Linked DNA regions of Callithrix jacchus. The protein of the gene in region 1 interacts with the protein of each later gene in a biochemical or structural test. Links are inferred from orthologs where the notes say so. Each region holds a gene or a part of one and is shown in the gene's direction. Other genes may lie near its edges.

The links. The genes of interacting proteins can lie anywhere in the genome.
Region 2: the proteins of WWP2 (region 1) and DVL2 form a complex in vitro, tested with the Homo sapiens proteins (2 studies listed by BioGRID, with this or other methods). The link is inferred for Callithrix jacchus from reciprocal best matches to the Homo sapiens genes WWP2 and DVL2.

What each region holds. Positions count from the first base shown.
Region 1 is NC_133521.1:27,511,764-27,518,019, forward strand, and holds part of WWP2 (NEDD4-like E3 ubiquitin-protein ligase WWP2), read left to right. Parts: intron 1-193; coding exon 194-275; intron 276-860; coding exon 861-989; intron 990-2,499; coding exon 2,500-2,575; intron 2,576-2,855; coding exon 2,856-2,927; intron 2,928-3,156; coding exon 3,157-3,245; intron 3,246-5,298; coding exon 5,299-5,458; intron 5,459-6,256. UniProt on the Homo sapiens protein: E3 ubiquitin-protein ligase which accepts ubiquitin from an E2 ubiquitin-conjugating enzyme in the form of a thioester and then directly transfers the ubiquitin to targeted substrates.
Region 2 is NC_133506.1:73,719,136-73,725,391, reverse strand, and holds part of DVL2 (segment polarity protein dishevelled homolog DVL-2), read left to right. Parts: intron 1-2,579; coding exon 2,580-2,649; intron 2,650-3,226; exon of another isoform or gene 3,227-3,259; coding exon 3,260-3,405; intron 3,406-3,535; coding exon 3,536-3,645; intron 3,646-3,747; coding exon 3,748-3,883; intron 3,884-4,007; coding exon 4,008-4,098; intron 4,099-4,242; coding exon 4,243-4,312; intron 4,313-4,408; coding exon 4,409-4,548; intron 4,549-4,637; coding exon 4,638-4,714; intron 4,715-5,919; coding exon 5,920-5,987; intron 5,988-6,169; coding exon 6,170-6,256.

The sequences.
Region 1 (6,256 bases):
GGAAGGACCCTCTGTGTCCCTTTCCCAGTGACAAGTGTGAGTGAGCGCGGCTTTGGCTGGTTCAACTTCTTTAACAGGCTGGCAACAGGGAGAGAAACTCAGACCCAGCACCCAGGAGGTGGGAGCCGCAGGGAAAGGACAGCGGCTCGCAGTCTTCAAATCTAATGGTTCTCTCTTTCTTCTCATGTGGCAGAGAAGAGACAGGACAATGGACGGGTGTATTACGTGAACCATAACACTCGCACGACCCAGTGGGAGGACCCCAGGACCCAGGGGTGAGGACATGGGCTGGGAGAGGGGCTGGGCCGGGCTGGGTCTCTGTGCAGCTCCAGCATTGGGTAGGTGGCTTTGGACTGCATTGTCCCAGAGGGCTGATGTCGGGGGCCTTTAACCACACACAAGTGTCTTGAGACTCTCATGGTACAGATACGCTGTTGGCCTCATGAGAGCTTAGAAGTGGTTTCTTAAATAGACCTTCCTGGTGGATGGAGGGGGCCGGCTGGCAGGTGTTGCTGGTCTCTGTACTGATTGTACAAGCTGCTGATAATTGGATTGGAAAATGGTTGAGGGTACCCTGGTCTCCCAACACCCCAAGTGAAGCAGGGCTGGGACACGAGGTATTTCAGGATTGCTGGTGACCATTCAGTCCGATGCTGTCCCTGCAGGGCTGGGTTTTGGCCATGGGATAATAAATGACCTCTCTGTGCTGCAGAACTGTCCTCACAACTTGGGTCATGCATGTCCTCAAGGCCCCTCATGGGCTCTGCAGAGACAAAGCCACACTTTGAGGACCCAGCCTCCAACCACCAAGGCCCAGAAGGTGGGGCCAGCCCTCTACCCCTTTCTTCCCATGTTTCCAGGATGATCCAGGAACCAGCTCTGCCCCCAGGATGGGAGATGAAATACACCAGCGAGGGCGTGCGATACTTTGTGGACCACAATACCCGCACCACCACCTTTAAGGATCCTCGCCCAGGGTTTGAGTCGGGGTAAGGACTTTGCAGGTAGCAGCAGTGTCCAGAAACAGAGCCCTGGGCTATCTTTGCTCTGGCTCCGGCTCCGGCTCCTCCGGGAGGCCCACTTTGGGTGTCCCCTGTGGTGCATTCTGTTGCCCTTACTGCCCTCTAGTGGCCAATGTTGATGTCCTGTTAAAGGGGATGGGAGGATAGCTTGAGCCTGGGAGTTGGGAGACCAGCCTGGACAACATTCCTGCCTTTACAAGAATAAAAAGGATTAACCAGGCTGAGCAAGATGGCCAGACCCCATCTCTACAAAAAAAAATTAAAAATTAGCTGGATATGGTGGTGCACGCCTGTAGTCCCAGATACCTGGGAGGCTGAGGCAGGAGGGTTTCCAGCTAAGGAATTTGAGGCGACAATGAGCTATGATGGTACCACTGCACTCCAGCTCAGGTGACAGAGTGAGACCCTATTTCTTTCTTTTTTTTTTTGAGACGGAGTTTTGCTCTTTTTACCCAGGCTGGAGTGCAATGGCGCGATCTCGGCTCACTGCAACCTCCACCTCCTGGGTTCAGGCAATTCTCCTGCCTCAGCCTCCCAAGTAGCTGGGATTACAGGCACACACCACCATGCCCAGCTAATTTTTTGTATCTTTAGTAGAGACAGGGTTTCACCATTTTGACCAGGATGGTGGTCTTGATCTCTTGACCTCGTGATCCACCTGCCTCGGCCTCCCAAAGTGCTGGGATTACGGGCTTGAGCCACTGCGCCCAGCCGACCCTATTTCTAAAAAATAATAAATTGGCTGGGCGCAATGGCTCACACCTGTAATCCCAACACTTTGGGAGTCCAAGGTAGGCAGATTACGAGGTCAAGAGATTGAGACAGTCTTGGCCAACATGGTGAAACTTGTCTCTACTAAAAATACACAAATTAGCTGTGTGTGCTGGCACATGCCTGCAGTCCCAGCTACACAGGAGGCTGAAGCAGGAGAATCGCTTGAACCTGGGAGGTGGAGGTTGCAGTGAGCCGAGATCGTGCCATTACAGTCCCTCCTGGCGACAGAGTGAGACTCGGTCTCCAAAAAAATTAAAAAATCATGATAAAATTAAAATTGGCTCAGTATGGGAGCACTCCTGTAGTCCTAGCTACTTGGAAGGCTGAGGCAGAGGATTGCTTAAGATCAGGAATTTGAGCCTGCAGTGAGCCGTGATCACACCGCTGCACTGCAGCCTGGGTGACCAAGTGAGACCCTGTCTCTAGAAAATAAATAAACAAACAAATAAGATGGGATGGGGAGGAAGGGACTATCCTGTTTATACAGAGTAACAACAGTGTTGTTTCTCTAAAAGCAAGAGGTCTGGCTTTATTTCTAGATATTCTTTTTTATTCTTTAAGGATCTTAATGACAGTCACTTCCTCACCTTACATTACTCATCTTTAAATTAACATAGCACCAGCTTTCCTTAGGGCTGACCAAGACAAGTTGTTCATTTTCTGAGAAATTGCATGAACCCCTGAACGCCTTTGCTCTTCCCAGGACGAAGCAAGGTTCCCCTGGTGCTTATGACCGAAGTTTTCGGTGGAAGTATCACCAGTTCCGTTTCCTCTGCCATGTGAGTTCTGGGACTGGGGCTCCTGTGGCAGTTGGGGTTATTGAGTTATTTCAGTCTGAGTTCCTGGCACAGCTGCAGGTATCGTAACGTTTGTGTCTTAGGTGGGGGTAAGACAGCTGTCTAACTCCAAATTGGCTGTCTCTGGGAAGCCAGTTTTCATTCCTAAGGGACACGCTCTCCCCTCCTGCTTCAGAAGGCTGGGGGATGCCTGTTCATACAGACAAGAGAACAGATATGATCACTTGAGGCTCCATTTGAAGTGATTTTCTTTTCTTTTCAGTCAAATGCCCTACCCAGCCATGTGAAGATCAGCGTTTCCAGGCAGACGCTTTTCGAGGATTCCTTCCAACAGGTTAGAGAATGATCATGGTGCCAACACCCTCAGGGGCAGGCCGGTGCCCTCCTCCCAGCACCCTGTCTCCTATTGCCTGGCCCATTAAACCCACACTGTAGACTTTCCAGGGCACGGGTCTTGATGACTGTGTCTGCTGGAGAGTAGGCTTTAGAGTTCCCTGTCCCTCCTGCCCCTGCCTGCCGTGGAAGGGAGAGTGGCAGGCCGGCCCCATGCTCTGTTTTCCCAGATCATGAACATGAAACCCTATGACCTGCGCCGCCGGCTCTACATCATCATGCGTGGGGAGGAGGGCCTGGACTATGGAGGCATCGCCAGGTGAGCTGGAGCGCCCCAGAAGGCTGCCCCATACCCCGTTTCCCTAGGCTACGGTGTTCATGGCTGGAAAGCTGCCTGCCTCATGCTGACATTCCCTCCCAAAGCTCTCCTGCGTCTTCAGGAGTGGGCACATTGTGGCACTCAAACTCCGTGAATCCATGTGGCCAGTCCCGATGGGCCTGGAGCAGGGGTCTGGGGTACCCTGCTGGACTGGGCGTTAAGCCTTTAGTTACTGGATCATGAGGAGACAGAGGACTCCTGGGAGGGGTGAGAGCTCAGTACAGTGGCCCTGTTATCTACCAGTGTGCCATGTTCCAGCAGCTTCTGGGCAGTGGCTGAATACCGGGGCCATGTGGTCATCCATTAGAGTTGACCTTGCTCCCCTCCTCTTGAGGCAGCCAGGGCAGGTGAAGTCAGGTGTCCCTGTGTCATGATCCACAGAGCCTTGAGCAGGGCTCTGCTGCATGGCATGTGCCTGGGGTCAGTAAAGAATGGCTTATGTCACCCTAAAAAGAGTCCACAGCAGCTGGGTGCAGTGGCTCACGCCTGTAGTCCCAGCACTTTGGGAGATCAAGGTGAGCGGATCACGAGGTCAGTAGTTTGAGACCAGCCTGGCCAACATGGTAAAACCCCATCTCTACTACAAATACAAAAATCAGCTGGGCATGGTGGCGGATGCCTGTAATCCCAGCTACTTGGAAGGCTGAGGCAGGAGAATCCCTTGAACCTGGGAGGTAGAGGTTGCAGTGAGCCAAGATGGCGCCATTGCACTCCAGCCTGGGCAACAGAGCGAGACTGCCCTGGGAAAAAAGAAAAAAAAAGAGACCAAAGCATTGTCTTGCCTTCACCCTGGTCCACCCACAAAAGTTAACAGCCTTCTGGGAAGTGCTGCCTTGGACAACAGGGCAGAAGGGCCCTGGCAGAGAGGGAGCGCCTTGGCCTGCAGTGACCTTTCCGCTTGTGACCTCTCCTTGTGTGGCCATGTCTTCTCGCTTGGTGTTGGGTTAACTTGCTCCTGGTCCTCTGCTCAGTGGTGGCGTTGCCTTCTGTGCTGGCCCCGTGGATGGATTGTTCCTTTTTTCCGTGGTGACCTCCTCTCCAGGCTCTGCTTGGTGGGCTTCTGGTGTGGCCGCGCCCTGTGTGTGTCTCTCTCTGTGTCCTGCCAGTGGTTTTACCCTATGGTAGGTTACGTCATGCTGTTCTACCACAGGGTAGAACCACGGACAGGATACCGGGACACCCTCTGCATCGAAGGACTCCTCGTCTGCCCAGCCACAAACAGCCCAGCCGCCGGGGACTGGCCCCCTTGGGACGTCCCCTGGCTGGTTTAGCTCAAGCCCAAAAGGACTCTGAATTCATGCTTGAGGCTCGAAACCAGGGACTGGGTGTTGGTTCAGATGAATGCGTGGAAGTGTGGGCACGGGTATGGTGTGGGGGGTCTGGAGGTGAAGGGAGGGCAAAGTGTAAGAGAAGTGAGATGCCTGTGGCATAGTTGGTGGGGGTGAGGTTTCTAATCGGAAGACAGTACGGATGACATTTTCATGGATCAGGATTGGGAATGTGGTGCTGTGTATTTATGTTATGTTGCCCGTCCAGGTAGAGTGGAAGCAGGGTCGTTGCTATTCAAACAGAACCTTTGCAGAAAGATCATTGTAATAAACATGCATCGTGTCCTTGTGCAGTACACAGCCTATGCAGCTGAGCATGGTGACCCAGGGTACAAGGACCCCCTTTAGCATTAGACGCTCTGGATGTTGTGATGTAAAGTCTAGGAACAGGAACACATCACTTGGGAGCCAACAGGCACACGTTTTCCTGAACCTCATCCTCAAATGCACTTGCCACCCCACCCTGGTTCACTCTAGGTCTCAGCCTGCCCTGTTCACTGATCAGCTTTTCATATAGGTTAGCCCGGGCACTTGTCACGGGACTGGACTCCTTGGAACACGTGTCCGCAGACTACCTGAGACACAATGGAGGAGAGTCACAGCTCCTGTGCAGATGTGCACTAAGGGACCCGTTATTCTTGTCTTTTCTTTCTCTTCCCTCACAGAGAGTGGTTTTTCCTCCTGTCTCACGAGGTGCTCAACCCTATGTATTGTTTATTTGAATACGCGGGGAAGAACAATTACTGCCTGCAGATCAACCCCGCCTCCTCCATCAACCCGGACCACCTCACCTACTTCCGCTTTATCGGCAGATTCATCGCCATGGTAAGGGGGCCACAGGGGAATCTCCTCTTCCTCTGAGACCTCCAGGAAGGGGCAGCATTGGAGGAGGCCCTGGGCCTGTTCACCAGGAGGCAACGTGGCATGAATAGCAGCCCCTGTGGACTGGTGTGCCCTCTCTGATCCCCACCCTTCACCCCCATAGAACTCGTAAAGTAAAAATGCAAAAAGCTCCAGGCGCCGTGGCACGTGCCTGCAGTCCCAGCTACTCGGGAGGCTGAGGTGGGAGGATCGCTTGAGCCCAGGATTCTGGGCTGTAGTGCCCTATGCTGATTGGGCGTCCACACTAAGTTCGGCATGAATATGATGACCTCCCGGGAGCGGGGGACCACCAGGTTGCCTGAGGAGGGGTGAACTGGCCCAGGTCAGAAATGGAGCAGGTCAAAACTCCCATGCTGATCAGTAGTGGGATCGTGCCTGTGAATAGCCACTGCACTCCAGCCTGGGCAACATAGCGAGACTCTGTCTTTTAAAAATAAAATGCAAAAAGCTAGCGAGAGCTCTGGAGAAACCAGAGCTTTCCTCAGTGGCTGCCATATAGGTAGTGAAGTTTCCATGTTGCTTTGTATAGGACTTGTCAAGAGGAAGCCAGGGTCTCGGGGCCACAGACTTTACTGAACATTAAATATGTGCTCTGTTGAGGGCCTTGGGATGACAGGGCTGAGTGAAACCGTAACTGCCCACCTGCTGCCTGTCTCTGGGAGGTGACACTGTCCCGGCATTTGGGAATGTCCCACTGAGACACTAAGCCTTCTGGAAGGACATTTGGAATCAATGCTAGCT
Region 2 (6,256 bases), on another chromosome or scaffold:
TAATTTGGGGGCAAGGGTGTGTGTGGAAAGAGAGGAACAACTAGGGCAGAGTCTGATGATTTATATGTTGATTCATTTAGCCAACGGTATTTGTTAATGCTGAAGTGACACTTTGTGCTGTGTGGCTAGGACATGGTGTTGACCAGAATGAGTGTTCATGATGTGATGTTGTGGTCAAGAAGAAGCATTAAGTCTAGTCCACTGGGTGAACCTATTGGAGAGATGACCGCAAGGCTGGGCCTTGGGATCTGTCAGGCTGAGCAGATTGCTTCGTGCAGAATTTTGTGACAGATGAGGCACTGGGGAATGGGAAGCTTAGCTTGCCCTCTCCTTGGGAACTTTCAATCTAATCAGGAGCTTCCATTGCTTGATCTAATGGGTTTTTTTGTGATGGAGTTTCGCTCCGTCTCGCAGGCTTGAGTGCAGTAGAGTGATCTCAGCTCACTGCAACCCCTGCCTCCCAGCTTCCAGCAATTCTTCTGCCTCAGCCTCTCAAGTATCTGTGATTACAGGTGTGCGTCAGCATACCCAGCTAATTTTTGTATTTATATATATATATTTTTTTGAGATGGAGTTTTGCTGTTGTTACCCAGACTGGAGTGCAATGGCACGATCTCGGCTCACCGCAACCTCCGCCCTCTGGGTTGAAGCAATTCTCCTGCCTCAGCCTCCCGAGTAGCTGGGACTGCAGGCACGTACCACCATGCCCAGTTAATTTTTGTATTTTTAGTAGAGATGGGATTTCAGCTTGTTGACCAGGATGGTCTCAATCTCTTGACCTCGTGATTCACCTGCCTCGGCCTCCCAAAGTGCTGGGATTATAGGCATGAGCCACCGAACCCGGCCTTCTTTTTTTTTTAAAGATGGGGTTTCACCATGTTGGCCAGGCTGGTCTCGAACTCCTGCCCTCAAGTGATCCTGCCTTGGCCTCCCAGAGTGCTGGGATTACAGGCAAGCCACTGTGCCCTGCATTTTTGTATTTTTAGTGGAGAAAGGGTTTCGGCATGTTGGCCAGGCTGGTCTTGAACTCCTGACCTCAGGTAATTTGCCCACCTTGGCCCCCCAAAGTGCTGGGATTATAGGCGTGAGCCATAACACCTGGCCTCTAATGGGTGTTTTTACCCGACAAAGGTCAGTCCTCTAGAAGTAAATTAGAAAAAACTAAAGGAGGGCCGGGCGCGGTGGCTCATGCCTGTAATCCCAGCACTTTGGGAGGCTGAGGCTGGGGGATCACCTGCGGTTCGGAGTTCGAGACCAGCCTGACCAATATGGTGAAACCTTGTCTCTTACAAAAAGAAAAAAAAGAAAGAAAAAAACTAAAGGAAAGTATAAGAGGAGAGACTTAGATGAGGACTGAAGACTTTTTTTTTTGAGATGGAGTCTCGCTCTTTTGCCTAGGTTGGAGTGTAGTGGCACAGTCTTGGCTCACTGTAGCCTCTGCCTCCTGGGTTCCCAGTAGCTGGGATTACAGGCACATGCCACCACACCTGGTTAATTTTTGTATTTTTAGTAGAGATGAGGTTTCACCGTGTTAGTCAGGATGGTCTTTATCTTCAGACCTTCACGATCCTCCTGCCTCGGTCTCCCAAAGTGTTGGGATTACAGGTGTGAGCCACCATGCCCAGCCAGGTTTTTTTTTTTTTTTCCCTGAGACAGTTTCACTCTTGTTGCCCAGGCTGGAGTGCAATGGTGTGATCTTGGCTCACTGCAGCTTCTGCCTCCCAGGTTCAAGTGATTCTCCTGCCTTAGGCTCCTGAGTAGCCGAGGCAGGTTTGTGCTACCATGCCCAATTAATTTTTATATTTTCAGTAAAGACAGGGTTTCGCTGTGTTGGCCAGGCTGATCTCAAACTTCTGACCTCGTGATCTGCCTGCATCAGCCTCCCAAAGTGCTGGGATTACAGGTGTGAGCCACTGCACCCAGCTTGGGTTTTTTTTTGAAATGGAGTCTCAGCTGCCCAGGCTGTAGTGCAGTGGTGTGATCTTAGCTCACTGCAGCCACCATCTACTGGGTTCAAGCGATTTTCCCATCTCAGCCTTCCAAGTAGCTGGGATTATAGGCCCCTGACATCGTACCCATCTAATTTTTGTATTTTAGTAGAGATGGGGTTTCCCCATGTTGGCCAGGGTGGTCTTGAACTCCTGACCTCAGATGATCCACCAGCCTCAGCCTCCCAAAGAACTGGGATTACAGGCGTGAGCCACCTTGCCTGGCCTTGTTGGAAGGTTTGTAAGGAACAGGATGGGCTTAAGAGGAGGCTACTAGGTAGGCTTCTGAGTTGGATAGATGTCTTAGGCAGCTGTATCAGCATGGGGGATTGCCTTTGAAAGTGGATTGAGAGGTTTGAATCAGCACTGTGGAGCAGCACTGTGCCCCTGAGGGAGAGGATAAATAAGGAAAGGAGATTGAGTTTGGAGATTTCTTAGGTATCATAGTGAGTTATTTCCATGTAAGAGAAGACGAACAGGGAAGGAGAAAGTCAGTATCCTGCAGCCAGGTGAAGATTGGAAGAAACTTTGAGTGGGGGTGGGGGTGGGGATGGCTGGTCCAGGTTACCAACCTCTACACTCTCTTGGCAGGGTGGTGAAGGAAGAAATTTCAGATGACAACGCCCGCCTCCCCTGCTTCAACGGAAGGGTTGTATCCTGGGTAAGAGTTTGTGACACCTAGGGCCAGGTCCCCTCAGCATTGCCAGGCTCTTCCAAGCCTCAGTCTGTTTCTGTAGCCCTCCCCCAGGCCAGGTGTTAGTGGCCCTGCCTCTTTTTTTTTTTTTTTTTGAGATGGAGTCTTGCTAGATTGCCCAGGCTGGAGTACAGTAGTGCAGTCTCAGCTCACTGCAACCTCCGCCTCCTGAGTTCAAGCAGTTCTCTGCCTCAGCCTCCTGATAGCTGGGATTACAACCATCTACCACCACCAGGCCCAGCTAATTTTTTGTATTTTTAGTAGAGACGGGGTTTCACTATTTTGGTCAGGCTGGTCTTCAACTCCTGACCTTGTGACCCACCCACCTCAGTCTCCCAAAGTGCTGGGATTATAGGCGAGAGCCATGGCACCCGGCTGGCCCTGGTTCTTTACCTCCTGTCTGTTTGAAGAGCCAGCGAGAGGCCCTCAGCTTTCTCCTTTTGGAGTCTTTAATAATTGCTATGTTTTTTTTGCTCTTCTTCAGCTCTCTGAAACCCTTTCTAATTATTTGACTTACTGCCGTCTGTTCCACCCCCACTCCCAGGTGAGCCACTGTTTATCGTTTGCACCCTTCTAGCTGGTGTCTTCAGATAATCCCCAGCCCGAGATGGCTCCTCCAGCCCATGAGCCTCGGACAGAACTGGCGCCTCCAGCCCCACCTCTACCACCTTTGCCACCTGAGAGGACCAGTGGCATTGGGGACTCGAGGCCTCCATCCTTCCAGTGAGTCCTTAGGATCCTTGACTGCAGGGGAGGGAGATGAGGAGGGAATCCAGGCCTTTTTGTAGGGGGTGCCTGGGATCCGGAGACCTGATCTCCTGATGTGGGTTGGAAACCATCTCTGCCTGTCCAGCCCTAATGTGTCCAGCAGCCACGAGAATCTGGAGCCTGAGACAGAAACCGAGTCAGTAGTGTCACTGAGGCGGGAGCGGCCTCGAAGGAGAGACAGCAGTGAGCATGGCGGTGAGGGGCAGGCCTGGGGACAGGGAAGGGCTGGGCCAGACCCCAGGCTTAGTGAGGTGAGCAGGGGGAAGCTTGGATCCTCAGCTTCCTATCCATATGCAGCGGGGGGCCACAGGACCAGTGGCCCCTCAAGGCTGGAGCGACACCTGGCTGGATATGAGAGCTCCTCTACCCTCATGACCAGCGAGCTGGAGAGTACTAGCCTGGGGGACTCGGATGAGGAGGATACCATGAGCAGGTGTGGCTCTGCAGCTCTCCCCAGTGCACCCAGCCCTGGCTTTCCTCCTCTGATCAGTCCTCTTGTTCTTTCTCTTGGCCCCATGACCACTTTGGCTTATGTTTGCTCTCCTCCCGCCTGACAGGTTCAGCAGCTCCACGGAGCAGAGCAGTGCCTCCCGCCTCCTGAAGCGCCACCGGCGGCGGAGGAAACAGCGGCCACCTCGCCTGGAGAGGGTGAGGGGGTTCCCACGGGAATACCGGTGCGGGGAGAAGGTGGGGCATGGGCCTTGGTTTGGATGGTGCCAGGACACCAGCAGAGCCCTAGGGTGTAGACTGGGTTATTGAAGAGCACTCTAGCTCCTCCTTTTCCCACCACAGACCTCATCCTTCAGCAGTGTCACGGATTCCACAATGTCTCTGAATATCATCACAGTCACGCTGAACATGGGTATGGGGAAAGCCTGTGGCGAGGGCGTGGGGAGGGCCTGGTCTCTCTGGGGCTTGCGACTGGGGCCTCCTCCCCTCACACGGTCTCTCTCCACAGAGAAGTACAACTTCCTGGGCATCTCCATTGTGGGCCAAAGCAATGAGCGGGGAGATGGAGGCATCTACATTGGTTCCATCATGAAGGGTGGGGCCGTGGCAGCCGATGGGCGCATTGAGCCAGGGGACATGCTTTTGCAGGTGTGTTGGGGCAGGGCCATTGAGCTGCCCTGTGTGGGGGCCCTCATACTCTCCCAGCCGGCTTCTGACCCCCTTCCCCTCGCTTCCAGGTGAATGACATGAACTTTGAGAACATGAGCAATGATGACGCCGTGCGGGTGCTGAGGGACATTGTGCACAAGCCTGGGTGAGTTGCTGAGCAGGCTGCAGGTCGTCAGTCTTTTTTTTTTCCCCCTTTAACTTTTTGTTTTGCAATTTTAATAAGTGGTAAGACAATCAGGCCCAATAGCTCACCCCTGTAATCTCAGTACTTTGGGAGGCTGAGGTGGGTGGATCACCTGAGGTCGGGAGTTTAAGACCAGCCTGGCCAACATGGTGAAACCCCAACTCCACTAAAAACAGAAAAATGGCCAGGTGCAGTGGCTCGCACCTGTAATCCCAGTACTTTGGAAGGACAAAGCGGGCGGATCACCTGAGGTCAGGAGTTCGAGACCAACCTGACCAACATAGAGAAACCCTCTCTCTTCTAAAAAATATAAAATTAGTTGGGTGTGGTTGCATATGCCTGTAATCCCAGCTACTCGGGAGGCTGAAGCAGGAGAATCGCTTGAACCTGGGAGGTGGAGGTTGCGGTGAGCCAAGATTGTATCATTGTACTCCAGCCTGGGCAACAGAAGTGAAAACTCCATTTAAAAAAAAAAATATTAGCTGGGTATAGTGGTGCTCCCCTGTAGTCCCAGCTAGTGGGGAGTGAGAAAGGAGAATTGCTTGAACTCTGGGGCAGGGGCAGAGGTTGCCGTGAACTGCCATGCCACTGTACTTTAGCATGGGCAACAGAGCAAGACTCTGAAGAAAAAAAAGGGGGAGTAAGACATAACACTCAAAGTACATGAAACAAATTCGTGATGTAGCAAATAATACTAGAGCGAATACTCATGTCGCCACCACCTAGACCATCAAATAGAGATTGCTGACACCCTAGATCCCCCTCCACAGACCCCCCTTCCTGCTCCCCAATGCCTCACCCCCCAGGGCTAGTCACTCTGCTGACTTCCCGGGTCATCACCACAACAAAGAAAAGCTTTACCTCCCTCCATAGTTACCACCCTTGCATGTATCCTTGAACAGCGCGGTTTTACCTGTCTTTGGACTTTCTTTGAATGGAATTGTACAGCGTGTACTCTCGTCTCACTTGGCAGTATGTTTTTAAGAGTTTCCATGTTGATGAGTCATTCACATTGTGGTGCCTTCCACCCTCACCTTCCCTAGCCCAGCTGAGACATGCTGGCTTCTCCCCATCTTTGTGTCTCTTAATTCATCCTTGCTTCAGCGCCCCCCCACCCCAGGCCTCTTCTTCCCCTGAGCCCTTGACTGGTCTTCTCTTCCCCATAGCCCCATCGTGCTGACTGTGGCCAAGTGCTGGGATCCCTCTCCTCAGGCCTACTTCACCCTCCCCCGAAGTGAGTGACACTCAGGGAGGGGCCTGAAGTTGGTGGTGGGGGTGGCTGGGGCTGGCCTCTGATTATGGGGAATGTGTGGAGGAAGGTCCAGGCAGAGGTAGAACGGGAGGCTGAGTCAGGGAGGGACTGGGCTGGCTTTTGGGGACTGAGAAGGGGTCATTTTGGTACCATCTTTGTCCCAGATGAGCCCATCCAGCCAATTGACCCTGCTGCCTGGGTGTCCCACTCCGCGGCTCTGACTGGCACCTTCCCAGCCTACCCAGGCTCCT